2 linked regions of the Stegostoma tigrinum genome follow. The protein of the gene in region 1 binds, or shares a complex with, the protein of each later gene. Links are inferred from orthologs where the notes say so. Each region holds a gene or a part of one and is shown on either strand. Other genes may lie near its edges.

Region 1 (16,241 bases):
GGGACCGCTTTGCAGAACACCTCCGCTCAGTTCGCAATAAACAACTGCACCTCCCAGTCGCAAACCATTTCCACTCCCCCTCCCATTCTTTAGATGCCATGCCCATCATGGGCCTCCTGCAGTGCCACAATGATGCCACCTGACGGTTGCAGGAACAGCAACTCATATTCCGCTTGGGAACCCTGCAGCCCAATGGTATCAATGTGGACTTCACCAGCTTCAAAATCTCCCCTTCCCCCACCGCATCCCAAATCAGCCCAGTTCGTCCCCTTCCCCCACTGCACCACACAACCAGCCCAGCTCTTCCCCTCCATCCACTGCATCCTAAAACCAGTCCAACCTGTCTCTGCCTCCCTCACCTGTTCTTCCTCTCACCCATCCCTTCCTCCCACCCCAAGCCGCACCTCCATCTCCTACCTACTAACCTCATCCTACCTCCTTGACCTGTCCGTCTTCCCTGGACTGACCTATCCCCTCCCTACCTCCCCACCCATACTCTCCTCTCCACCTATCTTCTTTTCTCTCCATCTTCGGTCCGCCTCCCCCTCTCTCCCTATTTATTCCAGAACCCTCACTCCATCCCCCTCTCTGATGAAGGGTCTAGGCCCGAAACGTCAGCTTTTGTGCTCCTGAGATGTGTCTGGGCCTGCTGTGTTCATCCAGCCTCACATTTCACAACCAGAATTGAAACCTTTTTGGATCTGAAGAGACCAGATCACAGCACAGGATGGCATATTATGTTGGGGAGCAAATGAAGAGTTGACAAGAAGTTAGGTCTAGTGGCGAGGATTGGATGCAGACATAAGCACATTGGTGGGCCAGTGCCAAGATTGCCAATGACAAAAGTTACTGCCAACAACTCTCCCTATATTTGTGGGAATAGCCAGGTAACCATTGGGCTCAGTTACATGTCAACTATACAGGTCCTTTCATGGGCCCAATGTTCTTGGTCATTGTAGATGCCCACTCAAAGTGGCTGGACATTCACAGGCTTCATTTGTCAAACACAGGCATGACGATAGAAAAAGTACACACATCTTTTGCAACACGCAGACTCCCAGAGGCTTTGGTCACGGATAACGGGCCTTCGTTAACCAGCGGGGAATTTGAGCATTTCCTGAATCTGAATAGTATGTGACTGTAAGGGCTGAAAGACCATGTTTGAAAGACACAAAATGGCCGACCAGAGTTAAACAGAATTAAACAGTGTTAATAGTTACACTGCAGCCCAGTGAACTGCCTGTAATTTCATGAACATTTTTGGTCAGGGGGAGGCTGATCATTCTTGCAAATCTGCTTTCGATTTTTTCAAAAATTCTTGCATCGTGTATTAGAATTGCTGCATTTGTTGCCCACCTTAAATTGTCTTTGCACAAATTGGCTCTCTAAGCCATTGCAGAAGGCACTTAAGAGTTTAAACATGCTGCTATGGGCCCAGTGTCACATGTAGGCTCGGCCAAGTGAGGATGGAAAATTTTCCTCCCAAAAAGGCATTATTGAACCAGATGGGAGTTTTTTAATGAAAATTAATAATGGTTTCCATTCGAAAAGTCTTTGTTTAAAATTCTAGATTTTACTTAATTGGAATTTTACCATCTCTCATAATGGTATTCAAATCTGTGTCCCAGAACATTACCACTCCCCTGATCCATCGCACCACTACCACCTCTTCTGTTACTTTGTAACTCACTACTAAATGAATTTTTAGTCGTTGATACTGAAAGGGAAAGCGGATACATGCATGAGAGAGAAACTAATAGAAGAACATGAAAGCTTGACGTTTTTGGTCGGGACCCTTCAGAAATTTCTGAAGAAGGGTCCTGACCCGAAACGTCAAGCTTTCCTGCTCCTCTGCTGCTCGGCCTGCTGTGTTCATCCAGCTTCACACCGTGTTATCTCAGATTCTCCAGCATCGGCAGCTCCTACTATCTCTCTAATAGAAGAACATGTTGGCTTAGTGAGCAAAATTTCCGCCTCACAGTGCCAGGGACCTGGGTTCAATTCCACCCTCAGGTGACTGCCTGTGTGATTTGTATATTCTCTCTGTGTCTGTGTGGGTTTCCTCCAGGTAGTTTGGTTTCCTCCAGGTAGTTTGGTTTCCTCCCACAGGCCAAAGATGTGCAGGTTAAGTGGATTGGCCATGCTAAATTGCTCATAGTGTCCAGGGCTGTGTAGGTTAGGTGGAATAGCTACAGGAAATACAGGGTAGGGGGATGGGTCTGAGTGGGATGTTCTTTGGAGAGCCAGGGTGGACTTGTTGGGCTGAATGGCCTGTTTCCACACTATAAGAATTCTATAACACATTAATAGAGTAAATAAGGTGTGATGTAGGCTTCTCCTATGGAGCATGAAAGCAAACTTGGATCTCATAGAAACAATTTCTTCATACTCTTAGAACCCCTACTGTGGAAGCAGGCTATTTGGCCCACTGAGTGCACACTGTCACGCTGAGAACATCCCACTCAGACCCGTCCCAGTAATCTTGCATTTTCCATGGTTAATCCACCTAGCCTGCACATCCCTGGGCACTGTGGGAAATTTAGCATGGCCAATCCACCTATCCTGCACGTCTTTGGACTGTAGGAGGAAACCCACACAGATACAAGGAGAATTTGAAAACTCCACACAGACAATCACCCAAGGGTGGAACTGAACCTGGTGCTGTGAGGCAGCAGTGCTAACCCTATCTATTGGGTTAAATGTGCTGTAAATTCTACACCCATGTGCCTTCTTTCTACATCTTGCCTAAACATGAAAAAAACAGGAACTTTATTGTAACGTAAAACAAAGAACTGTGGATGCCAGAAATCTGAAACAAAAACAGAAATTACTGGACAAACTCTGCAGGTCTAGCATACAGTAAGAAGAGTTAACACTTTGAGTCCAATTAGCGCTCTTCATAACGGAGCAACTTCACTGCAATGCAATCAGTGCTGTCAGGTTTCATTTTTCTCTCCGTGAAGCCTACTCTTCCATGCCTTTTACACTGAATTGGCTATGATAAAGACCATCAATTCACTTACCCCACTGTTTCTGGCTTTTACCTTATCAGGATGCATCAAATCTCTTCAGGGATTGTTGTGGCTCTGAGTCAAGTGTACCTCCTTTTATTTAGGGCACTGTTCATGATCTCTGGAGGATTAATTTGTAATTTCAAAGTGGACAAGACCAATCCATGGGCATCACTATGTTATGCAGGAAGGGGATAGCTTCTTGGAAGCTGTGGCAATGTCTTCATTTTGAAACAAAAGAAAGGAGTTGCCACTTGCCTACTCGTTTCGAATATCATCACCTGCCATTTAATGCTACATTGTCACCAATGACAAATGCCAGCACAATATTCCACTGAGGCGTATTCATTCCATCTACGAAGTGTGAATGTTGGCTGAGAGAGCTGGCACAGCACTGCTCTTTTGTTCTTTGTTTCAGGTGTGTGAAACCTATCTTCTATTCTGTTTCGGTGATTCCCTTGTGATCTGTAGTGGCTAGTTGCGGGACTGTGTACTGGATTGTTGGAAGGTTTTGTTTACAGGGTCTCACTGATAGATGACTAGATTGCCTAGAGGTCAGTGGATGAGCATTGCAGGAACCCAGAGATGTGAATTAGCCAAATTAAAGATTGATGCCTATGTTAAATTACTCTGCTTGGTTGTGTTGGGTACTTCAGATAATAGTGAGCAGTGTTATAAATTGGATGTCCCGTTGACCTGTGCCAAAGGACATTTCACATATATATTGCATCATTTGAGTAAAACAAAATCGCGAGGTCATTCGAAAGGCCTCCGCTAATGTTGTGCTCCTTACTTTCTACGAGGAAAAGCTCAGACAAAATGGTAATAATTGGATATCAGACTGGGAGGTTTGAATGGACAGTCACCATTGTAAACAGGCAAAACATTTTGTGGAAGCAGCTTCTAAAAACTGACAAAGTGTGCAACCTCTGCTGGTAAGATGTCAAAGGGAATACAGGAAGTAACACTGACTATTTCCAACCATAACCCAAAGGTTGGAATATAGGACTTAGAAGCAGGAATAATGCATTTAGGTTTTCCAAATCTGATTCGTTGTTTCAGAAGGTCATGGCTGATCTCAACAATATCTGCAACCCCACTCTCACCCACTCACCCTGGAACACCTTACCATAATTCTTGACTTTTCTGTCCTTAAAAAATCTACTTGAATAAATTCCTTCAATAAATTTGTTCAAGGGAGATCAACTAGTGCTTGCAATGCTGTAGGCTGGTGTGAGTGGCTTTGCAAAGTAAACTTTCTCCCTCTATAAGTGTGTATCTTAAAACGACACAGAATATCTAAATTATGTTACCACCATGATTAACAATCACAGCTCCCAAATGAGACTGTAGTAACTGGTGACACTTTTATTTCAGTTAAAATATAGAAAATTTATATCACAAGACACTCGATAGCAATAATATAGAACAATTTACAACACTGGCTGAACAGGGAGGAAGGCCTTGCAGCATTTTCCACAATACTGGTCAGTCAAGTATTTACAGTATAAGTGCCAGACTGAATCTTTTACAACACAGTAATTTACTGCAAGCATTACAGTCTACATAGTTCCTTAAAAGGGAACCAAAAGAAGCCCGATACACTTCGAATTCTGAAGGATGCCAGCATGCTTCCAGTCTAAAGCCCCTGAGAGGGGGGGCTCAGCTAGTCGGCCGATCTTGAACCGAAGTCTTCTCCTACCCCTCCCCCATCTTCCCAACAAACCTCCTCCCCAGCCCAATGTCCAAAGGTCTCGGGTCAGTCCTTTCACCATTGTCCACAGTGGTTCAGGGTCACTGGCATGTGTGCAGCCTGGAATTCTTGCTGTGATTCTCTCCCCTCTGTATCCGACAAGACAAACCCTGGGCGCAGTCACATCTCTGGAAGATCTCCAGGCCGCGGGAGCCTTTCCGCTTGTGTTTGGTGCACACCTGACCTTCCCTCAGCACCGGTTTGCAGATCTTGGACCAAAAGTGTCGGGCACAGCATAGTCCTTGGTCACAGTCAGAGGATCTGAGGCAAACATCACCTTCCTGTCCTAAGATGGGAAAGGATGGCCGGGGGGGGGGGGGGGGGGGGGGGGCGCACGGAGATGAAAAGAGAAAGTCAGTGAGAAACTTTCAAGATTGCAGTGCAAAGCACACACTTTGGACCTGTTTTGAATTTATCTGAGCCCTTACCTTTAACTGGGTGGGACCGAGCAGGGAGGGTTGTCCTCCTTGAATGGCTGTCCAAGGTGGTTTGATGCTCCTCATGGTTCCAGCTGTCCAGGATGCTCTCCTCAATTTCACCAGGAGTGTGTTCAATATCATCAGGCATGCACAGTCCTGCAAGACAATCCAGACCTCAAAATCCAGTTTGCTCCCTCCAAGAGAAAACTATGAACCAACAACCCCCTCTGTTGGCCCAGAAATGTTCATTGACTTCTTTTTGAGCAACTTAAACCTGACTCCTTTAAATTCCAATGGAGTTCAAATTAGTCAATTAGTGAGTTCAATGAATTCTGGGGATGGAGTGATTATGGGACCCTGAGACCAAGCAAACTCAACCAGAGGAGATAGGAGATAGGGGTGGGAAGTGAGGGGGCCACTAGACGACCTCGGTTTAGCCTCTTGGCAACTTCCACAGTCCATGATCTTATTTCTCTCTGGTAAAACAGATCTGCTGTTTTGAATTAACCGAGGCACCATTGTGCAACATGGTGTGTATATAAAAGTTTAGTTGTCTCGCACTTTCCCCTAATTTCCTATTTGAAACATGTTGCCCTCCGGTTGTAATACCTGACGTGGAATGTATATTGCAAATAGAAGACCGACTGCAGCGGGATCGACAGGATGTATGCGGACAAGTTGTATTTTTATTCCTGTTTCTGCAATATCCATGTTGAAAATTTTTAGATTTTTATCTATAAAGTACTTTTTTTCTCTGAAAACCAACAGCCCGATTGAAAAGCTGCAAGTTTTCAGCACTTTTTTTTCTCTCGCATTTACTATCCTTCCACGAAATGCCTCCCTCACTCTTCCCTCTCCCAACCCGTTCCCCTCGTCCTGTTCCGTTCTCTCTCCCACTCTGGCCGTCATTCTCCCCGCACTCACCGTTGCTGCAGCGAGTCCCCGGGCAGCACATAGCATCTCGGAGACAGCGTTTTCGGCGTCGGCGGCAGTTCAGACAATGCTGGGCAGCGGTTCTGGAAGCAGAACAGAACTGCTCGACAGCGCAGTCCCGGTCATTCAGACAACTGGAGAACTGCAAAAACGGAGTAGAAAGTTGAGTTAGTGTCCCCCCGGCACGGTGTAACACAGCAACACTAAGCACACATCAGGGCACGCACGGGCAGACCCTGAACGACTGGCACACACACAAATACACCCTGAAACATTAATACACATACACCCTGAAACATTAATACACATACACCCTGACACACACAAATACTCCCTGAAACACTGACACACACAAACGCACCCTGACATACAATCAAATACACCCTAAAACACTGACACACAAACGGATATACCCTGAAACATTGACTCAAACAAATATATCCTGAAATTTCGAAACACATATGCTCTGAAACTTTGGCATACACGGAAATGTAGCGTGAATCAATGGCGCACGCACACGTATATATACTCTGCAACATTGGCACGCGCAGACATATCCTGAAACAGTGGCACACCGCACAGATATATACCCTGAAACACTGGTACACACAGAGATATACCCTGAAACACTGTCGCGCACAAATATACTCTGAAACGGCGGCACACAGATACACCCCACAACACGATCACACACATTTATACTCCGCAACATTGGCGCGCGCACACACGGACACACAGACGTACCCCGTAATATACATGCAGAGAGGTAGACCCTGCAATACATTCACCAGACAATGCTTATACCCTACCTATAACACAAATTACGCGATAGTGTAATTACTGCGACATGTTTATGTGCATTAACACAAAAAGTAGTGTCTCCAAAAACACATCGTCCAACCCACAGAAATATCTTATTTTGCAACAGGTAATGTTGTGTCAGAATCCAGGTCTGAAACAATCAAAAAGTTGGGCGTGTTATTTGACGTTAAATCTTAAACAGGGAAAACTTCGTAATTTCAATGCAAATATTGACCGTTCTGGATGAAACAATGTTACATTTTGTTTTGTCTGGGTGGCCAGCTGGGTGCGTGCTTGGAGGTTAGCTGGCTTGACACTGACCTGGAATTGCTCGACCGCGTGGTTTTTGTTGACACTGTGACGGACCACAACCTGGGGAGCGACGCTGACCGGGTGGCTGGGACTCAGCGCCGCACCGCTGGCTGTCTTAATGGCGTTGGAATTGAAGGAGCTCACGGTGTTGCAGAGACAAAAGGTGAGCAGCAGTCTACCAGCCCCAGCAGCCTTTAAATACATGGTCAGCAGGGTCTCTCCGGTCCAGGACACCGCCAGATGAATGCAAGGAGGAGATGAACAGCCCACTCGAGATGCCCTTCACTCTCCTGACAGAAACCTGTGGGAGCAGCTAAGTGATAAATCCTTCTGTCCAGAAGCGCGGAGGTTTTGCCTGCTGGCTGTCTGGTTAACTCACTGACCTTGCAGAAACTTTATTTCCCTGAGTGCAGCCGCTTCCTGAGCAGTTTTATAGCAGCTCCTGCTGCCTGTGTTCCCGCCCCCCTCTCTCCATGTGTGACAAAGGACATGCTGGGATTTCAACACATGCTGCTCGGAGAATTTGCAAACCTACGTGTGTGTCAAACCAAGCCCCCCCCCCCACCTCCCCCCAATATCTAAGGCGCAATCAACACTCATTCCCGTTACCTTCTTTAATCATTTCCCGAAAGATGGCACCACATTGAGGTTTGACGCCTTTCTGAAACCTCTCTCGATCTTTATCTCCCTGTCTCTAATCTCCCTCCCTGTCTGAATCTTCCTGTCTTTATCTCGCCCACTCTCCCCTCTGTATCCATTTCTGGCCCTATCTTGTCTCGACATTCCTCCCTTTTTACCCCTCTTTCACCAGCTTCCTCTCGCTGTCTCCGTCTCCCTATTCTGTATCTTCCCTCTATCTCCTGCATCCTGTGCCTCATGTCTGTGTTCCACTGTACCCATCTCATTTTGCCCTTCTATCTGCCTCATCTCCCTTCCTCTGCCTCCATCCATCTCTCGTCCTCTTTCTCCCTCTGTCTTTCTCTCTCGCTGTGCCTTCCTTCCCTCTATCTCATTGTCTCTGTCCTTTACATCTGCAGTTCTAGCTGCCTTTCCCCGACGCTTCTATTTAGCGTTTTGCGGTTCTATCTATAAAGTTTGTGTTTGCCTTTCAGTCCTCAATCCGCCTTTCGCGCCCCTTGTTTGGTCTCTCTGTCACTGGGCATTTCTGTTCAGTTTGCTTTCTGTCTCTATCCCCGTTTCTTTTTATCTCCTCCCCACCCCCCCCCCCCGCCCCAACTTTGGCCTTTCTATCCCCTCCTGTCTGCATATTCCCCCTTCCCGCTTATTTAACTTGCATTCTGAATCCTTTTTTAATTGTCTTTTAAAATCCTGGGTCCAAATGTGTGGGGATGGCGAATCGGAGCTTAAAGGAAAAGTTTCTCGCTCAGATTTCCGCTGCTTGTAGAAGTCATGGGCGTGGAGCCCATCCTGTCGCAATATTCATCCTTTATCCGATGAGTTTCACGTCTGCTTTTTGTTTATTTGGAGCCGCGGATAGTTTTAGTACCTGCACTGTCTGGCTGGGAAAGAAAAGAATTCGAATACATTCAGATCATTTTCGCTCCATTTACAGCGTTTGATTGGAACGGGGGCCCAACTTTGAAATCCAGTTGATGAAACAAACTCGGCAGATCAAAGAGCTTGTGGAGACTCAGAACAGAGAAGAGTTTACCCAGTGAATTATCACGCAGTCCCGCACAGCAAAGCAAACACAGAACGCTCAGCACTGAATAATAAACAAGGTTAAGCTGCTTTCTCTGAATTGCTATTGTGTTCTTTGACTTAGTGATAAAACTACCAGAAACGAGCAGGCGCACTGCACTGATTGGCGTCGCTTCTGAAATTGCTAAAGAGCTGTCAGCAGGTTCGATGTTTGCAAAAATTATTAAACATGGAAATAACTCAGAGGAACGCCTTCTGCACCTGTTTCGGGGCTCCTCTTTTGGCCATGAGGTTTTGCTTTGGTTGATGTCGCGAAAAATAGTTTGGAACCACATACTTTTCGCGTGTGTGTATGTGCTCTTTTTCTCCCTCGTGTTGTTTAACTGAAGCTTTCTGGTTACAATGAAGCAGACTCTTTGGCACAAGAGGTAGAAAGATCCAGGTAACTGTTGTCCTCGCAATCGAGGTGCTCCTAAGATGCTGCTCGGCCTGCTGTGTTCATCCAGCTCTATACTTTTTTTTATCTCGGATTCTCCAGCATCTGCAGTTCCTTTTATCTCATGGGATTTGAAGTGTTGTTGCTGCAGGAAACACAGGAGCCAGTTTGCAGAGAGCAAGCTGTCTCCAGTAAAGTTACTATCTGAGATGTTACAGCATGGAAGCAGGCCATTTGGCCCATGCTGAAATAGCCATGCACCTGGTACCATTCCCCTGGAACCAGCCTCCACTGTTTACTTTGGCAGCACATTCCAGTGTAAGCAGGCTATTCGGCCCATTGAGTCCACACTTACCCTCTAAAGAGCATTCCACCCAGATCCACGCCCCTACCCCTATCCCTGTAACCCTGCATTTAGCATGGCCAATCCGCTAACCTGCACAACTTTGGACTGTGGGAGGAAGCCCAACGCAGACACAGGGAGAATGTGCAAATTCCACATACATAGTCACCTAAGGGTGGAATCAAGCCCAAGTTCCTGGCAGTGTGAGGCAATAGTGCTAACCACTGTATCACCCAAACTTAACCTTCTCTCATCACCGATTGCTCAGAAATACAGAAAATAGGAGCAGGAGTAGACCATACAGCCATTGGGAGCCTGCTCTGTTATTCAATATGATGATAGCTGATCATCCAACTCAGTCCTCAGTTTCTGTTTTCTCCCCATAATCTTTGATCCCTTGGCCCTAAGAACCATATTTCACTCCATCTGCAAAATGTTCAATATTTTGGCCTCAACTGCTTTCTGTGGCAGAGAATTTCACAGGCTCACCACTCTGGGTGAAGAAATTTCTCCTTATCTCAGTTCACTCATCCATACCCTCCACAGCAAATGCTCAGTAGCAGCAGTGTGTACTATCTACAGGATGCACTTCAGAAATTCTCCAAAGATCCTTCGTCAGCACCTTCCCAACTTAGGACCACTTCTATCTAGAAGGACAAGGGGAGCAGATATATGACAGTATCAACACTACATTCCCCTCCATGCAACTCACCATGAGCAGGACTGCCCTGACAAAGGTTCCTGACCCAAAACATTGACATTGCTGTCCCTCTGATGCTGCCTGACCTACTGTGTTCCTCCAGCTCCACACTGTATTGACTCTGACTTCCAGCATCTGCAGTTCTTGCTGTGTCCTGACTGATCCATCCCAAAAATCAGTTTCATGAACCTTTGTTGTACTCCCTCCAAAGTCAGAACATCCTTTCTCAGATAAAGGAGACCAAAACTGCATCTAATCTCATGGATGTGGTCTCCCAAGGTCCTGTAAAATTGCAAGACATCCCTCCTCCTATATTTGAATCCTCTTGCTGCAAAGGTCAACGTACTATTTGCCTTAAACTGAAAGAACCACGGATGCTCTATGTCAGTAACAAAGACAGAAGTTGCTGGAAAAGCTCAGCAGGTCTGGCAGCATCTGTGAAGAAAAAAAATCAGAGTTAACGTTTCGGGTCCAGTGACCCTTCCTCAGAAATGATGGTAGCTGGGAAAATGTCAGTTTATGTGCAGAAGGTAGGGAGTGGGGTAGGGAGGGGAGAAACAATGAATAGAGCCCAAAGAAAGAGAAGACCAGTTGAATTATGATCCAATGACCCAACTGCTCCTGACTCTCTTTAGGCTCTTTCCTATCGTTTATTCCCTACCCTACTCCCCCCCCCTTCCCTATTTCTCTATATAAACCAACATTTTCCCTGCTACTATCTGTTCTGAGGAAGATACACCAGACTCGAAACGTTAACTCTGATTTCTTTTCTTTACAGGTTCTGCCAGACCTGCTGAGCTTTTCCTGAAACGTCTGTTTTTGATTCTATTTGTCTTCTTCACCGTCTGCTGCACCTTTGTGTTTTGCGAATTGGCTCTCAATCCTTCCATCAGTGGGGACAACGTTTGTCTATCCATTCTGTTCAGTCCCTTCATAATCATAACAAAATCATTTGATTTTTTGTGATCTTTATTGATAAACATTGGTATGGATACTGGGGTTAACTTCCCTTATATCCTTCAAAGTACACACCTGGACCTTTTACATCGAGCTGAGAGGGCAGATGGGCAGCACTCCTTCAGTACTGCACTGCAGCTTCAGTCTTGATTGTTATGTTGAAATCCCAGAGTGTAGAACTTGAAATGACAGCCTTCTGTATGTTACCAATCGTTCATAGACAAACTGGTGAAGTCACTATACATGATCTAAATAAGTAGACATTAGGAGACTGCAACAGCTACAGTGGTGACCAGCAGAGGCCAGAAATTCAAACTGTGACGTGGCATCTGACTCACCAACCCGTGTACTAGTGTACCAACACATCAACATGGCCTTTGTCTCAGTGACTCTACAGGGATATCACAACAACAGTGCAGAACGGGTGCAGCTCAGTGTCCTGCACATTTTAGTGTGAAACCACATTCACTTGACAATTCCAGATTTAACATGTCTTTCAGTTAGAGAAACTGAGATGGTGAACAGTTATGAATGTGTGTGTGTGTGTATGTGTGTGTCTGTGTAAGAGAGATGCGTGTGTGAGAGAGAGTGTGTGTTTGTGTGTGTGTGTATTTATGTGTGCGTGTGTCTGTGAGAGTGTGTGCGCATGTGCGTGAGACAGTGTGTGTGTGTGTGTGTGTGTATGTGAGAGAGCATGTGTGTGTGTGTGTGTGTGTGTGTGTGTATGTGTGTGTGTGTGTGTATGTGTAAGAGAGTGTGAACAACATGAGTACTTTTCATTGCAGGCCTGACGAGCATTTTGACTGTTTAATACTGACACAGATCAGGGAGGCTGATAGATAATATTGCTTGACACTGAGAGCGATGTCAATAAGGATAAAGTCAGCCCTGACTGTCCTTTCTTTGCGAGCATGCACAAATAATCACGACTGACACTTCAGCGTGGGTCAGCACAGTGGCTCAGCTGGGGACCCGGGTTCAATTCCAGCCTTGAGCAACTGTCTGTGTGGAGTTTGCACATTGTTCCCGTGTCTGTGTGTGTTTCCTTTGGGTACTCCAGTTTCCTCCCACAGTCCAAAGATGTGCAGTGAATTGACCATACTAAATTGCTTTGTAGTGTCTGCAGATGAGGTGTCTTGTGAGTTTGCCATTGTAAGTGTTGGGTTATAGGGAGGGTGGAAGTCTAGATATGACTGGGTGCTGTTTGGAGTGTCAGTGCAGATCTGATTGACTGAATGGCCTCTTTCTGCACTGTAGCGATTCTGTGATTTCACCAAAGTGGCCACAAGAGGATGATATATTCATTAGTAAATCATCACCATATTGTTTGAACTGTGCTTGTGAATGGATAAATCTTCCCTCATGTCGGGTATTGTGAAACCAGAACAGGAGCTGATGTGGTCAAATCTGAACTGGCCAATATTCAATCAGATCTGGCCACACTAGCAACAGGCACAATCAGAGGTCACAGTCTGCATTGGAAGGAATGAACAACTTATTGCTTTTGAGTAAGGTTGGCGAACAGAGGCATGGTGACTCAAGACCCCAGATTATATTTTATTGGTTTCGTTCCTATTGATGGGTCCTTCTGTCCTTGGCAAATAGGAATTTGATTAATGTCAGGTTTGGAGGAAACAGTCCCTCTGGCAGTGGAGTACTCTCGCAGTAAGCATTGGATTGACAGCTTAAATTAAATAATAAAAATCCAGATAGATTATCACCATATTACCAATTGTTTATATGAATAGGAGTTTTGGCCAAGTTACATCAACTGTCATGTCCATCAAGCATTTGGGACGTCAACATTCTAAAGCATTTCAGAGCTGAATTAAGAGCTGGGTACAAAACGATTCAAAGATTTTGCAATAGTTTCCCTCATGATCCCTTCCCATTGTCCCATCCTTGTAAAACATTAGATGCACCGTAACATGAATGCAAATGTCTATAAAATGCTTACAGATCACATTATTAATAGAACAAAATCATGTCATTGGATATTATGCTTAAATAAAATTGGTTTACGGGTGGGGGAGTGCAGTGGCAGCGGCATAGGTTCAATAAGCCTGTTTATTAGTCTGTTTTGAGATGATTAATGGAATTGGAGATGGATAAATGCTCTGGAATTTTAGGTTGTAATTGGGACCAGAGATTATGAAGATTTGTCTTCCTCAAGAAATTTCATAGGTTGGAATAGGATCCATTACAAAGTAGATCATACGTGTTTAATGAAAGAAGCAGGTCAGCTGAGTAGATGACCTTTTACAGAAGGAAGTCACATTAGTCATTATGAGTTTCTTATAATACTTTTTTGAGAAGCCTCATGTGATCACTGGTAAGCACATGGTTAGGTTTTCAAACAAGGTCTTCCTGCTTGCAATCATCACCCCGTTAAAATAATCTCTTGTCTAAGCAATTGTCCTGAACAATGGATTTCTTTAGTTGCATTCCTGTTAAGCCAAATGGAATTCTAGCAGGAGTCTGGGTTGGGAGGTAATTTTTATTATTTACTCATTCATAGGGTGTAGGTGCCATTGGCTCAGGGGCTGCAATGGCCTAGTGGCATTATTGTTGCACTGTTACTCCGGAGATGCAAGAAATATTCCCGAGACTGTGCTTCAATTCCCACTATGGTAGGTGGTGGAGTTTGAATTCAATAAAAATTTGAAATTAAGAGTCTAATGATGCCCATTAAATCATTGTCAATTGTTGAGAAAAACCCATCTGGTTCACCAATTGCTTTTCAAGAAAGAATCTGCCATCCTTACTTGATCTGGCCTACATGTGACTCCAGACCCACAGTACTGTGGTTGACTCTTAAGTGCCCTCTGGAAAGGGCAATAAATGCCAATGCCCACCTCCCATGAACTAATAAAAAAAATTAATATAGGGATTACCCATCCCTAATTGCCCAGAGGGCTGTTAAGACTCGACTACATTGCTATGGATCTGGAATCACATGTAAAGCAGATAAGGTAAGGATGGCAAATTCATTTTCTTAAAGGACCAGTCTTTTTTACAGGAATTGAAAATGGTCTGTTCTTTTTATTCTGGATTATTTTTTGAACTGAATTCAGATTTCACCATTTCCCCAGCGTTGGATTCAAACCCATGTCCCTGGCCTGGGATTTGTGCTACTAGTGGAGTGGCAATGCCCCTATTTGCAGGAAATGTCCACTCCCATGCTCCAGTGTAGAATGAGCCCGGCCTTTGATTAAGATTTCTTTTCCAAGAACTGTAATAGTACAGTCACTGGGCACTATCTTATAGTGATACAACTGTAAGAGTAAATTTCCAAAATAAATGGAAAATCATGTGTTTTCACAACAGATATACATGTTGCTTCATCCATGGTCTTCTATCATAAGGTCAGCAGTGAGGATGTTCACTGAAGATTGAACAATTTTTATACAATCTGGATCACTCCCTAACAGCACTGTGGGTGCACCTACACCAGACAACCCTAAAATCGTGTACCTCAGTACCTTTTAACCTAAGATTGTGCCATAAGTGGCAACTCTGTAAACTTCTCACAGCACCCATGTGAATACATGTGACAATAAACCTAAATTTAATTCTAACATACTACTGCAGTTCAAGAAAGCAGCTCAACGCAAACTGTGGAGGAACAATTAGTGAGAGATAATGGGAACTGCAGATGCTGGAGAATCCAAGATAACAAAGTAGTCTAGGCCCGAAACGTCAACTTTTGTGCTCCTAAGATGCTGCTTGGCCTGCTCATCCAGCTCTACACTTTGTTATCGAGGAACAATTAAAAATGGACAGAAAATGCCTGCCAGATCCATTGTTCTCTTCTAATCTTCATGTAGTGTCCTCATTGTTCAAGGGTTAGTTTATCTCATGATGTTCACTCTGGGGTGGCGATTAGCTTAACCAGTGCAAATATTATATCTGCGTTGTTGGAGTTATTCAACACTGCAATACCAATTAAGATTAGCGACTGCACAAAGTCTTTCTCTCATCCCATAAATGAATGTATCAATAAACTAACAAATTTAATGTTCTTCTGACTGCCACACTCAGTTGAATTACACACTCCACAAATATGACCTCATCCAAAAGTATGTTCTATCCTGTGTTAACTGATGTACACTCATTCCAAATCTCAATTTTAAAACCTTCAAACTGGTTTTGAAATTGCCTCCCTAGTTCTGCAACTTCTTCCAGTGCTATAACCTTCTAAGATCTATGACCTCATTCAATTCAATTTCATAAACTTCTCAGTTTAATCATTTAGAACTAGAAATTGTGCATTCTGTTGTCTTAGTTCTACTGTATATAGTTCTATTGCTGCAATGGCAATAATAATGAAGATGTTTCCTATGACATTTTTAGCTTTGAACCTGTCCTTAGGTGGCTTCGAGCCAAGTTTTGTTTGTTTACACTTCTGTGAAAATGCCTTGCGATATTTACTAACTTGAAAGGTCTTATACAAATGGAAATACTTATTAAGGTCACTTATTTGAGTATGGAAGTAGTCAGTCAGAAAACAAACGCCAACTATCTATTTTGTGATCAATTTGAAAACTGGAGAAATGGAGTTCCATACATTTGCATCAAATTGTTCACAGTTAAGTTTGACAAAAAGCTAATGAGGCAGCACTTGTTTCTCAAAATGTTTGAAGTAAAGTTTAAAAATGACTTGAGTAGTTCCAACAAGAGCAGACCACAGTTATCCAGTGAACTGTTATTTTAAAGACACAATAAACCATCTGAGGCACTTCACAGGAGGACATCAAAAGAAGTTGGCACCTAAGCCATTGAAACAGCCATTAAGATGAGTGACTAAATGCTTGTTAAAGGAGAGAAGTTGTAAGCAGTTTCTTAAATGAAGCTAAAGGAGGGACATGGCAGGCTTTGGGGAAGTAATTTCAGAGTTTAGGTTTATGAAGTTGA
Region 2 (16,648 bases), on another chromosome or scaffold:
TGCTCAGAGAGCCAGTTTGAGAAGCTTGCTACAACACAAACTGAACCAAGCTCCTCCTACACATTGGACGTTGCCTTAAAACTACCAGAAAATCTGTAAATCTGTTCCGCATCTTATCTCCGCTCATTATCTAAACTGACTATGTGCATGCCCTCAATCTGATCTGAAAGCTTTCTGTCCTTACTTGCATTCCAATGCTGCATGACTATGATTCTTACCCAACTAGTACCCCATGCCTCTGTCAAAGCAAAACAGCCTAAAGTCATATCTGCTCTCTTCCTGACCCAATTATAGTTGAAACTTTGCATTGGAACTGACCCTTGGCTGCTCTCTTTCAGGGCATGTCCTCCTCAACTGTTTCAGAGAAAGGCAGCACACGAAATAGACAGGAAAAAATGGCAAATATGGACAGGGAGAGAAGTGTACAGGAGCAAAGGAAAGAGGAAATAACCAGTTATACAAACATAGAGGCAGAAACAGAAATTCAAAGAGATCAGAACCCACATAAAATTACTTGCTCTGACTCACTGCCAGTAATGCCCCCACATTAATGAATGGAAGGGAGGGCAAAGCCAACCGTTCATATAGTCTCAAAGTACAATAACATATTCATTCCCCTGGTTTGGAAAGTTTAAATAAACAAATTGAGCAATAGCAGTTCGCAAACCTCTAGATTTGAATTTGCAGAAACTAAGCTAAGAGATTGGAAGCATAACAGTCCATGAATACTTGTGATGCGTAGCATTGTAAAACAAAGCTTAGTCAATGTCAAAATAATAAAATGTGAGGCTGGATGAACACAGCAGGCCCAGCAGCATCTCAGGAGCACAAAAGCTGACGTTTCGGGCCTAGACCCTTCATCAGAGAGGGGGATGGGGAGAGGGAACTGGAATAAATAGGGAGAGAGGGGGAGGCAGACCGAAGATGGAGAGTAAAGAAGATAGGTGGAGAGGGTGTAGGTGGGGAGGTAGGGAGGGGATAGGTCAGTCCAGGGAAGACGGACAGGTCAAGGAGGTGGGATGAGGTTAGTAGGTAGCTGGGGGTGCGGCTTGGGGTGGGAGGAAGGGATGGGTGAGAGGAAGAACCGGTTAGGGAGGCAGAGACAGGTTGGACTGGTTTTGGGATGCAGTGGGTGGGGGGTAAGAGCTGGGCTGGTTGTGTGGTGCAGTGGGGGGAGGGGACGAACTGGGCTGGTTTAGGGATGCAGTAGGGGAAGGGGAGATTTTGAAACTGGTGAAGTCCACATTGATACCATATGGCTGCAGGGTTCCCAGGCGGAATATGAGTTGCTGTTCCTGCAACCTTCGGGTGGCATCATTGTGGCAGTGCAGGAGGCCCATGATGGACATGTCATCTAGAGAATGGGAGGGGGAGTGGAAATGGTTTGCGACTGGGAGGTGCAGTTGTTTGTTGCGAACTGAGCGGAGGTGTTCTGCAAAGCGGTCCCCAAGCCTCCGCTTGGTTTCCCCAATGTAGAGGAAGCCGCACCGGGTACAGTGGATGCAGTATACCACATTGGCAGAGGTGCAGGTGAACCTCTGCTTAATGTGGAATGTCATCTTGGGGCCTGGGATAGGGGTGAGGGAGGAGGTGTGGGGACAAGTGTAGCATTTCCTGCGGTTGCAGGGGAAGGTGCCGGGTGTGGTGGGGTTGGAGGGCAGTGTGGAGCGAACAAGGGAGTCACGGAGAGAGTGGTCTCTCCGGAAAGGAGACAGGGGAGGGGATGGAAAAATGTCTTGGGTGGTGCGGTCGGATTGTAAATGGCGGAAGTGTCGGAGGATGATGCGTTGTATCCGGAGGTTGGTAGGGTGGTGTGTGAGAACGAGGGGGATCCTCTTAGGGCGGTTGTGGCGGGGGCGGGGTGTGAGGGATGTGTTGCGGGAAGTACGGGAGACGCGGTCAAGGGCATTCTCGATCACTGTGGGGGGAAAGTTGCGGTCCTTAAAGAACTTGGACATCTGGGATGTGCGGGAGTGGAATGTCTTATCGTGGGAGCAGATGCGGCGGAGGCGGAGGAATTGGGAATAGGGGATGAAATTTTTGCAGGAGGGTGGGTGGGAGGAGGTGTATTCTAGGTAGCTGTGGGAGTCGGTGGCTCACTTCCCACTTCCTACAGACTAAGGGGGTGGCCATGGGCACCCGCATGGGCCCCAGCTATGCCTGCCTCTTTGTAGGTTACGTGGAACAGTCCCTCTTCCGCACCTACACAGGCCCCAAACCCCACCTCTTCCTCCGGTACATTGATGACTGTATCGGCGCCGCCTCTTGCTCCCCAGAGGAGCTTGAACAGTTCATCCACTTCACCAACACCTTCCACCCCAACCTTCAGTTCACCTGGGCCATCTCCAGCACATTCCTCACCTTCCTGGACCTCTCAGTCTCCATCTCAGGCAACCAGCTTGTAACTGATGTCCATTTCAAGCCCACCGACTCCCACAGCTACCTAGAATACACCTCCTCCCACCCACCCTCCTGCAAAAATTCCATCCCCTATTCCCAATTCCTCCGCCTCCGCCGCATCTGCTCCCACGATAAGACATTCCACTCCCGCACATCCCAGATGTCCAAGTTCTTTAAGGACCGCAACTTTCCCCCCACAGTGATCGAGAACGCCCTTGACCGCGTCTCCCGTATTTCCCGCAACACATCCCTCACACTCCGCCCCCACCACAGCCGCCCTAAGAGGATCCCCCTCGTTCTCACACATCACCCTACCAACCTCCGGATACAACGCATCATCCTCCGACACTTCCGCCATTTACAATCCGACCCCACCACCCAAGACATTTTTCCATCCCCTCCCCTGTCTGCTTTCCGGAGAGACCACTCTCTCCGTGACTCCCTTGTTCGCTCCACACTGCCCTCTAACCCCACCACACCCGGCACTTTCCCCTGCAACCGCAGGAAATGCTACACTTGTCCCCACACCTCCTCCCTCACCCCTATCCCAGGCCCCAAGATGACATTCCACATTAAGCAGAGGTTCACCTGCACCTCTGCCAATGTGGTATACTGCATCCACTGTACCCGGTGCGGCTTCCTCTACATTGGGGAAACCAAGCGGAGGCTTGGGGACCGCTTTGCAGAACACCTCCGCTCAGTTCGCAACAAACAACTGCACCTCCCAGTCGCAAACCATTTCCACTCCCCCTCCCATTCTCTAGATGACATGTCCATCATGGGCCTCCTGCACTGCCACAATGATGCCACCCGAAGGTTGCAGGAACAGCAACTCATATTCCGCCTGGGAACCCTGCAGCCATATGGTATCAATGTGGACTTCACCAGTTTCAAAATCTCCCCTTCCCCTACTGCATCCCTAAACCAGCCCAGTTCGTCCCCTCCCCCCACTGCACCACACAACCAGCCCAGCTCTTACCCCCCACCCACTGCATCCCAAAACCAGTCCAACCTGTCTCTGCCTCCCTAACCGGTTCTTCCTCTCACCCATCCCTTCCTCCCACCCCAAGCCGCACCCCCAGCTACCTACTAACCTCATCCCACCTCCTTGACCTGTCCGTCTTCCCTGGACTGACCTATCCCCTCCCTACCTCCCCACCTACACCCTCTCCACCTATCTTCTTTACTCTCCATCTTCGGTCCGCCTCCCCCTCTCTCCCTATTTATTCCAGTTCGCTCTCCCCATCCCCCTCTCTGATGAAGGGTCTAGGCCCGAAACATCAGCTTTTGTGCTCCTGAGATGCTGCTGGGCCTGCTGTGTTCATCCAGCCTCACATTTTATTATCTTGGAATTCTCCAGCATCTGCAGTTCCCATTATCTCTTAGTCAATGTCACATTTGTGTGAATAGAAGGGAGGTGGTGTTGGATTTGCTGAAAGGTAAAGTATTCATTGTTGAGAAATGACAAGACTCCTGTTAATGTGAATGCAACTGAACTTGTTGTAAGTGGATGAGAGACATAACATGATGCTGATGCAAAGGCTCGTGAATTAAATTTGTGGTTCTAAACATGTGCCTGAAGAATGAGGAAAGATAATGATAATTTAAGTAGGAATAATGGCGAAGTAATCAGCAGCGTTGATTTATCCTGCTCCTCCACCAGCTTTCCTATGCTGCTAGGCATATGTTAGTTAGGATCAGGAGTAGGTCATTTGGCCCTTTGAACTTGGACTACGATTCAGCACTATCATGGCTAATCAGACTACTCCACTTTTCCATCTACCCCTGAGAGCACTTCACTCCCTTCCCGAGTAACAATCTATCTAAATCTGCCTTAAAAATATTCAAAAACTTTATTTCAACTTCGTTTTGAGCAAGTGGGTTCCAAAGGCTTATGACCCTCTGTCAGCAAAATCTCCTTATCTCTGGCTGTAAATGGATAATCCATTACTTATAAACATAGATCCTGCCTCCACGATTCTGCAACAAGTGCAAACAAATATCCACCTGTCAAACCTCCTCAAGATCTAATACATTTCAATTGCGTCACCTCTTACTGTTTTAAATCCCAGCAGATAGAAGCCCAGCCTGTGTAACCGTTCCTTCTGAAATATTTTCACCATTAATATTGATATATAAAGCTGTGGTACTAAACATACCTTGAAAATTTAGGGCTTGTTCAGTCATATGCATTTATTGTGTATATATAATCATATAAATATATTCTTCATACCATGTTAAGGGTTAATTTCTGTTGTCAACCTCTCTGGCCCTGAAATATTTCTTCCAGAAAGTGTGGATCTCATTGATTTTAAATGAGATTTCTTGTTTGACATTTCAACTAAATTAGAATTCAAACTTCTACAATTTTTCTATCTCTTTTAGCAACATCACTCTCAATTTCATCTTTATGTTGTTTTGTACATAATTTATGATTGAATTAACTTTTCTAACATGTACAGCTTATATATAAAATAGATTTAGATTCTGTTCTAAAAGTTCGATTCCCTCAGTTTTTGGGTGCTAGGGCCAGAACTCCTGATTGGTTGTGCCTGTTTAGATTAAATTGAGCAGCACACTAGATTTGGTCTACCTGTCTTAAATGGCTGTATTATCTGACTGAGCAGGTCCCATACTGCTCACTTTTTCTCAATATTGCCAATTGCCTCTGTACTTACAAGAGCGTCAAGTACCATTGTTCACTATGATGTGGTATAGCTGGGCCCTGCCTTTCTTAAAGGTACACCGCACTGCAGAATATTGCTACAATTTAAGTAATGGAAATGTGAACACAGTGGTAAAGGGAAGGACTGAGGGAGATTAATGTACCACAAGAGGCATCGGAGATGGAGGTGAGCAGGAGAAGAGATGCCATGAGTCCAAATGGGACTTTCCTCGAAAGGGCATGGGAAAAGGTAGCCGTGGATGTCAATTCCTGGAGCCGAGACCTAAGGATCCAGGGCCACACCAAGTTTGATGATTTTGGGTGTGTGGCCAAAGTCAGTCAAATTCTTGCCAAATGATACCTGTGCTCCACCATACCACCAACCTCTCACACAGTGCAGTGCACACAATTCCCATCATTCAACCTTTACCAATTCTTGGCAATCAGGATCCACACCTCACTTTCAGATATCCCCTTAACTCGCCAGTTGGTTTCAAACGCACCTCCTAGTGCCTCGACATGTGTAGCTAGTCAGCTATAGGAGAAAAATCATCCAAACAAAGTGTGACACAATTGCTGATGTTCTGCCTTTCCCTCTGCAGACAGTTATAGAATCATGGAATCCTCTACAGTATGGAAACAGGCTATTCAACCTGTGAAGTCCACACAGGCCACCCGAACAGTATCCCACCTGGACCCACCCTCTTATCCTATCCCTGTAACCCTGCATTTTCCCATGGCTAAGCCACCTAGCCTGAATATCCCTGGACACTATGAGAAATTTAGCATGGCCAATCCACTTAACCTGCACATCTTTGGACAGTGGGAAGAAACTAGAGCACCCAGAGGGAACCCACACAAACATGGGGAGAATGCGCAACGCCACTCAGTTGCCCGAGGGTGGAGTTGAACCTGGGTACCTGGCACTTTGAGGCAGCAGTGCTAACCACTGAGCCACCATACTGCCCCAATAATTGGACCTATTATTGAGAGGAGCAGAGCAAAACTGGTTGGGATCATGGGTTACCTGCAACTCCTGACACTTGCAGAGAAGATGGTTTCCTGTATCAGTGGGGCTGGCTGAAATGGAGAGAGGGTATAGACTGATGCCATATTCCTGTATAATGCTACTTCTCAGCTCAGAGCTCACCCTTATCCTGACATCTGGCATGATGAGAAGCTGCAGGTGGAATCAGCATGGATTGTTTTCTTCCTGCTCCCCTTCCCTCACATCGATCTGCTTGGTGCTCATAAAATCTGGGCTTCAGTTAATCCTTGAGAAAGGGAGACAAAAGGAAATGGAACCATTAGAGGGGAATTATCTGGCTGAGTAAACATGGAACAATCACAATCAGACACCACTGAGGAGAATGGTGCAGAACTGACACTGAAGGAAGAAAAAGCTGGTTTTAGGCAGAAGGACATAAATTACAGCAACTGTGGCAGATTTTGGAGAGAGGTACAGGGTACAACATCTATTGTTACACCAATCTCTTATATTTTAAATCAGCATTCAATAGCATACAGCGAGAAGGGATATGTCATGTCTTCAGGATGCGAGGTGTTCCTGAGAAAGTGTCAGACTGATAGCAAACCAGTGTGACACTGCCTCATTAGAATGCACAGGAAGCCACCAGAATGGTTTAGATCAGCAGTTGTTGGGGTGAGACAAGGATACACACCACTGCCTAATTTATTTAACCTTGCACCGGGAAAACTTATGAATCTTACCCGAAATAGTGATGTTCGAGGAATCTCCCTAACTGGCAAGATTTTAAACAATCTCAGATTTGCTAATGGGATTATGCCTAGAATAACATTGTCAACAGATTCACACTGAAAAAGAAATAGAGGGGCTGAATGTGTATAGTAAATAGATTTCAGATTAAGGGGGCAAAAGACATAACTTTTGGAAGGCATTAGGTAAATGAACAGATGGAAAGGCTTGTGTTTCTGGGTGGGTTAGTGCCAGAGAACGGGAGTTGCAAAGAAGTTAGAAGGATTTGACTTGCTTCTGCTGTTTTTGGAAGATTAAGGAGGACATGGAAACCTACATATATATGGGGTAAACATAGGTAAGAGAAAGTGATAGTTATCTCCATATTATCATCTGGGCCTGGTGGCTGAAACTTGTGAAAAGTTGACAAGATTAAGGTATTAGAAGTAGGTGATACATTTGCTGAGCTAAATGCTGGGAAGTTCAGGATTCCAAGTTGAGAATTTTATAACAATAACATAGCTCATACAGAAGGTCCAAGAAAGATGAATGATTGTTTTGGCAGGTTTCCAAGAACAGAACGAGTTGAATCATCTTTCTAGAGTTACACGGAACAAAAAATGAGGGAGGCCACGGACATACAATGCCAACACTGGCTTGTCACACCATGGGGTATGGTTGGCCAGGAGAGTTCATCATGGAGTGAATTCATTCAGCTCATTGCGATTACTAAACTGATAGACTGGAATTTGGATCTAAGAGGCTGGCAACTGTGAAGGAAACTAAGCAACTTTTGACTGAAAGAATAGCAGATTTCCCCATGCGTTAGAATACCAAACCATCTGAACATTGTGAATCGTAGGATCCTCCTGACTTCTTTATGTGGACTTGTGCTGGATCAAGGGGAGGGGGAGTTAGAGGCGCTTGACTTCACAGTTTCAGATACAAGTCCTGACAAGCCTTGCCCCAGAGAGCTCAGGGATAATGGACAGTATGAACACCCTCCCCTGAGGTGAATTTGGATGTAGGGGGCATTGAATAGGGAATGAGGGTGAGGGTGGGGTTCCCTTTCTTGCCACTGCCCCAGTTAAGTCTGAGTAGGGATGTTTTGTGGACTGCTTGCCTACTCCAACGTTAATGGAGCATTTTAAATGGGTAATTAATGGCCATCAGTGGCATTGAGCCAGCTGTAGGTGGTGCATTTGCCACACCATATTCCTGACACAGCCACGGCCTGTTGTGTTAGCTTATGAGTGCCAGGGAGGTGGGGGGGGGGGGGGGGGGGGGCGAGGGGTCACTGGCTGTTAGGAACTTGGTGCTTGTCCAAGGGACCCCACCTCAGACAGGGGGAGGGGGCCAGTGGCAATTAAATCCCCTGCCTTTTCCCCTGACTGACACCCATCAGCGACCCTCACACAGCTGAGCCCTCACTCCTTGGCTAATCCTGGGCCTTAGGGGATGCATGCCTGGCGCTGATGTCAATGAGAGCCTCTGACTGCCCATTGGAGTGCTGCATTGCTGCGGGTACAAACCTTCAGAGAGGTCAAACCCGGGTTCTGTCTCTCCCTCTCAGGTGAAGACATTTTCTCCAGTACCTTGGGCAAAAAAAATCTTCCACGCAACGCTTGCCAGTGACAGGCGATTTACAATTTATTTATTACATTGTCTGTTCGGAGAGCCTTGCTGAGTGCAAGTTAGTGACTACAGTCCCTAACATGACACTTCAAAAATGTATTTCACACACACTGAGACATCCCAATGTGAAGCTACGTGCTCACAGTAACTTTTTCATCGGGGAAGGCTGGCTGTGACAGCAGTTGTTTGGAAGTTCGGTTACTTTCCTTGTTAATTGCTCTGCACGGGAGAAAATCCGATGAGAACGGGGAATAATCGTTCGGGAGAGCTCCTTGCGAGGGCAGCCTGCTGGCAGGTGCAGACAGCTTGTGGCTAAACAGTCCTTTTGGAGCAGGTTTAAAGCCAAGCTTCCTGTCACATGCTCGGAGTAATTTGATCTCTCTGTGTGTGTGTTTCTCCCTCCCACTCCTCAGGCTCTTTTTTAGGTGTTGCTGTAGTTAGAGATCAGAGACGCGGCACTAACCAAGCAAACTGACTTACCCACTTTGGAGTTGCCGATTTGCCGACTCCCTTCCTCCTCTCTGCCACCGGCTTCTTCCTCATCGTTCCCCCAGCCCCGGATAGCCTGTCCTTACGGCACTGCCTCTCTGTGTCCCCTCTCTCTGTCTCTGCAGCCGGCTCCGTGATGGGTTCTGGGCTGGAAGCGCTAGCCCTGTGCATGGCATTCGGCTTCTTGTTCACTCTCGGATGGGCAGAGTTGAACACCGGTGAGTCACTTTACTTCACTTTCCCGATGGGTACAGCATGTAAGCGGAGCAGGCTGGGGCCAGGGTTAACAGGTAACTGTGTGTGTGTGTGTGTGTGTGTGTGTGGTGGCGGTCAGTTGCTCATCTCTGACTCTCCCTCTGACAGCCCAGTTTCTTCTAGCACAGCTCCCATTCCCACCTCCTCCGTCTGGGAGAAACAGTGAGTAGGACAGACTGCATTGTTCATAGCGAGAGAGAGAGAGATCGTGGGTTGGAGAAAGAGGGAGATAGGTAGGTGGAGGAGACCGAGAGAAAGGCAAGGCTCCGGATCGATCACTGTCAACTTGGCTTCCAACTTTGTAAAGGTAGTGGGTGTCCTGCGATCTTTTGGTTTGTACTTACCCAGACGGCGTTAGGCTGGGAGTCACATTCAGGGGTAGATGGGGAGCGAGATGAATGGCTGCCTTTGTCCTTGAATATGTCAAAAAAAACATTATATCGATAGAAGCTCTTCAGCTGAATGTGAAGATGGATAAGTATCGATACGGATCAAAAAATACATGGACAAATATTTAGATAAATGGCTCAGTATATAGTAATGACTGATAAATCTATGAAGTAGACAGTTAAGTGTGTGGCCGACTTGAGAAGTCATCTTTAATGGGTCTCTGTATATTAATATATACAACAAACGGAGAGACTGTTGCAGAGGCACGTAGCCGGGCACACAGTAATGGGCAGTGCTGGGTTACTGGGTACATTGCTGTGTATTGTGAAGAGGGGGCTATCCAGACTGACAAACCTATCAGTGTCCAGCGTTAAGTTTCACAGCCATCCCTTTCGGACGCTGCAGCGATGTGTCCGATTTAAAGCTGGTCAGATACAGGATCCGAGGCACTTGACAGAGATTCCCCTGAACTCCATATCCCAGCCAGTCCCGGGTCAGCTGGGCCGGGGCGGGTGGGAGGAGGAACACTGTGGAGTCTAAATCTCATGCCGGTTTTCAAAGGGGGATCAGAGCTTCTGCACATGCGACTGAAGCTCAGCGAAGCCCTGGGTTTTATTGTGACCCCTCATTAACGGCGCAGTCTGCAGCCCCAGGCTTCCGACTCGTTCGTGGTAAGTTGCTTTCTGTCTGTCTCGGCTTATTGCGAGCCGGCGGTGAACGAACCGCTCTCAGTATGTCACACACCATCTGGGGTGGTGAGCTGAGCCGGGCTAAATTTGCAGCTCCCCGACGCGCTGCTTTCTGAGCACAGTCTGTTTGCATTGTTTGGAAAGATTTGCAGGACTCTGTAAATCTACACTCCATTCTGTATCACAACATTTACACTAATCCCCCCACCCCACTCCCAACAAATACCACCACTTCTTACAACAGAGTTCCATCTGTCCATCATCTATTTTCATGTACAGAGCAGATCTATTTGAAAAGAAATAGTCACTGGAGGACAGTGAGTAGAAGGAAGGGCGATAGACCGATTGGTCTCCCGTGTTGTACAGTTCATCGATGCGGAATCGTTTCGTAAATATAAACGGAAAGGTCCCTTCCTTTCTCCTTGTGTTCCACTGCCTGGATGAGGTTGCATAGGACTGGTCCGTGCTTAAACCTCCAAGTATCCAACCCCCCGGACTGCGTTACTCTGGCTTTTCCGCCAGATGTGAGCACCCGCACGGAGTGGGGACTTTTGGGAAAGCAGGCTGTAGTTCTCCAGCAGGGGTCTGGTGATCCCGGCCGGGGATGCGCGTGCGAGTTGCAAAGGATCCAGCGCAGCGGCGATGCCTCGTGCAGTCAAATAGCCGAGTGGCAGGCCATTCTCCCGACGCTCACAGGAACCACTCAGCTTTAGGATCCGGCCGCCGTTGACATCAGTGAGACGTCCCCGCAAGAACTCAGGCCTTGGGAATAGGAAGGGAAGGTTACTGCATCATTAGAGAGAAAACAGAATAACTGCTTCGAGACGGTGTTGTAATTCAGACTTGTTTCTCAAATGTAAGGAAGGATCAAAAACTCTACAGAATCACTGAGGACGCTTCAAGACCAGTCAAAACTGAAGGGTCACTGGACTCAATGTTAACTCTTGTTTTCTTTGCACAGATATTGTCAGAACTGCTGAGTTTCTCCAGCAATTTCAGTTTTTGATGAAAGTAACATTAGGGGCTATTAGTAATCCTGGAGGTGGCTTACTTCAAAATGACAGCTTCGAACTAACACCAGCAAAAAGCAAAATCGAGATTCTCAAATTACCACGGTGAATTTTAAATTGAAGTTTCTTGAATTACTAGTGTGGCTCTTGGATTACTGGCCAAGTTACTTAATCACTACATTACTATCACCAGATTAATTATCATGACACTGTCACTTCAAGAAATGATTAGCACTTAATTGAGGACAGGCCAGTGTGGCTATGGAAGTCATGCCATCTCCCCACTCAGCAAACAAGGCACATCTTTCCAGCTCCAGGCCTGGAATCAGGTAAGTTTATTACCTTCAAATGTCCATCCGATTTATTTCCAAAATTATTGACTGCCTTCATTTCCACCAGCCTCTGGGCAGTGGGAGCAAAGTCACACATCACCTCGTACTTCCCCCTGCATCTCTCCCTGGAAATGCATGCCTCTTACTCCTTGTTGTTACAGCTAATAGCTAAGTTTGTCTTTACTATGGCGTCCAAATCTGTCTACCTCAATCAAATCTCTGTCTCCTTTTGCTCCAAGGCTTTTCCGATCTCACCTTGTGACACACAAACCCCCAATCCTGAAACCATTCTGATAAACCTCCTCTGCGCACTCTTCAGGACCCACACATCTTTTAACGAGAACAATTAGTTTAAAGTATTATACATAAAGAACATAAATACCAATTCTACTTTGGAACCTTCTATTAGTAATACTTTAAATAATTATATTTTACTCCAAACCACACTGTGGCTTTATACTTAGGTGCTAATCATTTCTTGAAGTGACAGTGTCATGATAATTAATCTGGTGATAGTAATGTAGTGATTAAGTAACTTGGCCAGTAATCCAAGAGCCACACTAGTAATTCAAGAAACTTCAATTTAAAATTCACCGTGGTTATTTGAGAATCTCAATTTTGCTTTTTGCTGGTGTTAGTTAGAAGCTGTCATTTTGAAGTAAGCCACCACCCAGGATCACTAATAGCTCCTAATGTTACTTTCATCAAAAACTGAAATTGCTGGAGAAACTCAGCAGCTCTGACAATATCTGTGCAGAGAAAATGAGTTAACATTTCAAGTCCAGTGACCCTTCAGTTTTGACTGGCCTTGAAATTTTAACTCTGCTTCCTTGCCACAGACCCTGCTGAGTTTGTCCAGCAGTTTCTGGTTGTGTTTGAAATCTTCAGCATCTGTAGTTCCCTGCTTAATTTTAGGGACACTATCTAGTCTGATTTATCTGTGACTGTATTCCCATACGCATGACTGGCGCTAACTTACCATTAGTGAGCCACTCTTACATTAAATTAATACTGGTGAATTACAGAGATCCAGCAATTCATTCTCAAACAAACGAGTTGGACAGTAAAGCAGACTTTCTAGCAATGCCCCCTCCCTGAAATGCTCTTTGATATGAACACCAATTTTGCTTCTGTGCAGCTGCAGTTGGCTTCTGTTCTGACAAGCACTGCTGGCATCGCAATCAGAATCAATGTTGAGTAAAAGCACCTCATCAAACACTGAGAGGGAATGAAACAAACAGACACCTGGAGAGATTTCAAGGCAGTAATCTAATCTCACAACTTCAGATCATGATTATAAACTGCTCAAGCTTTGCTCGTGAAATCTGTCATGTCAGTATACCCTTCAATTAGACTAGTGCCGTGTAATCCTTTCCAGATAGCCATTATTTCTACAAACTGAATGCTTAAATAAAAAGGGATGAGTTATTGTTCATTCAACTCTCATTCCGTACCATTGATCCTATAGAAATAATGGTTCAGTGCCAGAATAATCTTGTCAAATGTCTTCAGTTCCCACCATGCAAGATTTGCTCTCTGTCAGGAGACTGGTAAGAATTGTGAACCATATGAAATATGAGGCCCAATTATGAAAAGAGTGATCTCTCTCTCCAGTAATATTTGAGTTTAGATGATGAGTGTCTTGCCATTACCAATGTCCAAATATAGCTGCTGTTACACAGGCAGATAGACCAACTATTCTTTGGATGTGTATTCCCCAAGAAATGGAGGCGTTTAATCCACGATATTGTTAAGGGAAAGATTTTTAGCCAGGGCAACAGGGGGAGCCTCTTGGGATCTTTAATGTTTATTTGATTAAGCAAACTGTGCACAGTCCAACATCTCATTTAAAGAATGTTACGAGGCAAAAACTCCAGTAGTTTTGCATTAAATATCACCCTTGCTTATGTCTTCAGTTTCCTATGAACTGAAACCGTGGATTTCAACCTCAAACCTTCAGCCATCTGAATGAAAACTGAGAGGTGGTCATAAAAATAAGTCCATCATTGTAAGGTTTAGAAGCATTTTTAAGCTTGTACTGTACCCTTCCCATTCAAATACCATTTCGAAAGCCTTATAAAACACTTGCAGCCATCTCTTATTCCCTATGTAATGCATATTTACTTACTGTGTAACATACTGACTTAAGGCATGATGTTTACCTATATCACCTTGTGTAACATTGTTTTGCCTATGAATCTGCAGCTCAGTAAAATTTGCTTTTTCCTGGCTGGTTCCTGGGTTTGAATCCACATCAGGCAAGGAGAATAAAAGTTTTCTTTACAGCAGTATGTGAAATTAGTGGGTTTATTGGTGAAGTGGGCATAGGCCCACTGAAAAATAGCTCCCCTCTGTTTGCCTCAATGATCATCCCTGTAACCTGATTTGTGATGGGGTTTTGAGATCATTTACTGAAAGCTTGAGATGACCTGAAAGAAAATCCTTATTAGTCTATCGCAAAATCCACCGGCCAAGGATTAGAGGAGACCCAATTTAATTTGAAAGATAGAATTAGCGATCTGATTCATGAAATGGATGCATAAAATGCTGTGATGCTTCTTGCTTAATGCAGAGGCAGGTTTGTGAAGTGAGTTACACTAAATTATTTCCAAGCACTTTGCAGTTTCGTTTTAAGTCAACTTCTAAACAACCATACTGAATGATGACAGTCAATTTTTGCACTGCAAGGACATGGGTGTGTGGACTCTGTTTGAAAAGCCCCCATATCCTCTACCTCCTGTTAATATACCCCATGTGGAAAAAGTTCTTGCCCCTTCTCCACCCATTATAAACCCCACATGGAACTGGTGCTCAGTCCTCAGTCAGCCATTATACTTTCCTTGTGAAACCTGCACTTGCTCCTCTAACCTGTTTTTGAGCAGTGATTTGGAGTATAATCCAGGTGACCAAAACAATGTAGAGAAGACTCTATTTCTAAATCTTTGTTTACAATGATTTAAAAGATCTCAGAGCTTAAAGAATTTCAAAACACTTTTTTTGTGCTGGATCCCAGATCCTTTCTGAAACCTTTCCCCTGTGGTGTTGATACTTGTCTCAATAGTTCCAGACAAGTTTAAGCAATCAAGCAAGTATACAAGGATCAATTGTCTCATCAACACAGATGAAACAAACTATTAAACACTTTGCATTATTTCAGTTCACCTAAGCTGCAGCTCAGACTTCAGCTTAACATTGTACTGTTAAGATAGCATCTAGAACAATTATCTTGGTCTAGTTTGAAATGTCAAAATGTGCACTCTAAATTTGACTTGAATGTATGATCTTTTGAAGTTTAAACTGCTGGTTGAACAAATCTGCAACTTGTGCATCACAATTGACTACAACTTCTCATTACTACAACCAAAAACAGAATCATAGAATGATTATAGCACATGAGAGGTTTATTTGGCCTAGTGTGTACATGTTGACTTTCTGCAAGAACAACTCAGCCAACCCTGTCTCTCAGCGTTTTCCCCACAGGCCTGCATTTATCTCCCATTAGAATTTTCCTCCACCATTCAGCATATGCATTTTAGATCCTGACCACAGATATGTCATAGAATCCCTACAGTGCAAATAGAAGCTATTCAGCCTATAGTGTCTATACCGACTCTCCAAACAGCATCTCACCCACGTCAACTCCACACTATGTCCCCATAATCACACATTTACTGTGGCTAATCCATTTAGCCTGCACATCTTTGCATTGTGAGAGGAAACCAGGGCACCCGGAGGAAACTCATGCAGACACAGGGAGAACGTGCAAACTCCACACAGACAGTGAGGCAGCAATACTAACTACTGTGCCACCTGCTACTGTAAAGAGGTTTTTGTTGTTATGCTGTTGATTCTTTTGCCAATCACCTTAAATCAGTTTTTCCTCTGATTCTGATCCTCAATCTTCTACCAACAAAACAGCTGATGTGTCTCTGTTTAGTCAGTCCATACACTTCATAAACAATCCTCTTAAACTTGTTGTTTTCCAAGGAGATCAACCCAACTTCTCTGTTCCAGCCACAAAGCTGAAGTTCCTCACTCAGAAACCTGTCTCATGATTTTCTTTCTCATTGTTTCTAATGACTTCATATCCTTTCTCAACTATGGTACTGGAAACTGGACACTATTTCCAGTTGAAGACAAACCAATACAGGTTAATTGTGACCACTTTTCTATTTTATTCTGTGGCCTTGTTTATAAAACCCAGGAATGTCCATGTATTATTAATCCCTTTCAATGCACCCCTGACATTACTAAGTTTTTATGTATTTATACCTCCAGGTCACTCTGCTCCTGTATCCTGTTTAGAGTTGTAACCTTTCAGACACATAGCTTCTCCCTACCTTGCTCTTGCTACCAAAATGATAGTTTGCACAACTCTGCATGAAGTGCCATCAGCCACATGTCTGCAGATTGCACTAACCTGTCTGTGTACTTTTGAAATTGAACACTATTGACTTCGCCATTTACAATGAGCACCTGTGTTCATAATGCTTCCAGTTTTTGTGACATCCACAAATTTTGAAATTTGCCCTATGCATGCTAGACTGGTCATTAATATACATCAAAAAAGTAGCGGTTGCTAACACTGAACTTTGCAGAGTTCTCAACATAAACCTTCGGTCAGTTGAAAAATCCACACCCTGTGTCCTTCCCTCGACCAATTTCATATACCCCCTCTCTTTAATTCCATAAGTTCTAACCTTCGTTTGCAAGCCAGGCCTATGGAACTTTAACAAATACCTTTTTGAAAGTTCATTAACCATGTTACCAACATAATTCACCCTGTTACCTTCACAAAAAGCTCAAACCAGTTTGTTAAACATGATTTGCCTGAAACAAATCCATTCCAGTTTTTCCTAACTAACCATATTTGACCAAGTAACTATTTGTTTTGCCCTGAATGATCATTTCTGAAAGCTTCCCCCACCTCTGAAGTTAGACCAAGTGGCCTGTCGTTGCTGCGTCTATTCTCATTGCCCTTGTTTAAAAATAAGATTGTAACCTTTGCCATTCTGAAGCCTTTTGGCACCACCATGCTATCTGATTAGGATTGGAAAATTTTAGCC

What was found.
Region 2: the proteins of dkk1b (region 1) and kremen1 are in contact, whole or in part, in a crystal structure (PDB 5FWW), measured with the Homo sapiens proteins. The link is inferred for Stegostoma tigrinum from reciprocal best matches to the Homo sapiens genes DKK1 and KREMEN1. Residues at the interface, in NP_036374.1 of Homo sapiens: Cys189, Leu190, Arg191, Ser192, Ser193, Cys201, Arg203, Trp206, Ser207, Lys208, Lys222, His223, Arg224, Arg225, Lys226, Gly227, His229, Gly230, Leu231, His261; in XP_011528731.1 of Homo sapiens: Pro67, Asn88, Asp90, Asp92, Ser94, Trp96, Gly105, Val106, Tyr107, Trp108, Tyr110, Asp127, His128, Gly129, Pro132, Thr140, Asn142, Glu164, Ser165, Tyr167, Ala168, Phe170, Asn189, Val191, Phe193, His196, Asp203, Gly204.

The regions. Positions count from the first base shown.
Region 1 is NC_081373.1:47,601,940-47,618,180, reverse strand, and holds dkk1b (dickkopf-related protein 1b), read right to left. Parts: upstream 7,618-16,241; 5' UTR 7,434-7,617; coding exon 7,239-7,433; intron 6,259-7,238; coding exon 6,108-6,258; intron 5,340-6,107; coding exon 5,193-5,339; intron 5,051-5,192; coding exon 4,806-5,050; 3' UTR 4,426-4,805; downstream 1-4,425. UniProt on the Homo sapiens protein: Antagonizes canonical Wnt signaling by inhibiting LRP5/6 interaction with Wnt and by forming a ternary complex with the transmembrane protein KREMEN that promotes internalization of LRP5/6.
Region 2 is NC_081379.1:37,605,287-37,621,934, reverse strand, and holds the start of kremen1 (kremen protein 1), read left to right. Parts: upstream 1-8,859; 5' UTR 8,860-9,042; coding exon 9,043-9,124; intron 9,125-16,648. UniProt on the Homo sapiens protein: Receptor for Dickkopf proteins. Cooperates with DKK1/2 to inhibit Wnt/beta-catenin signaling by promoting the endocytosis of Wnt receptors LRP5 and LRP6.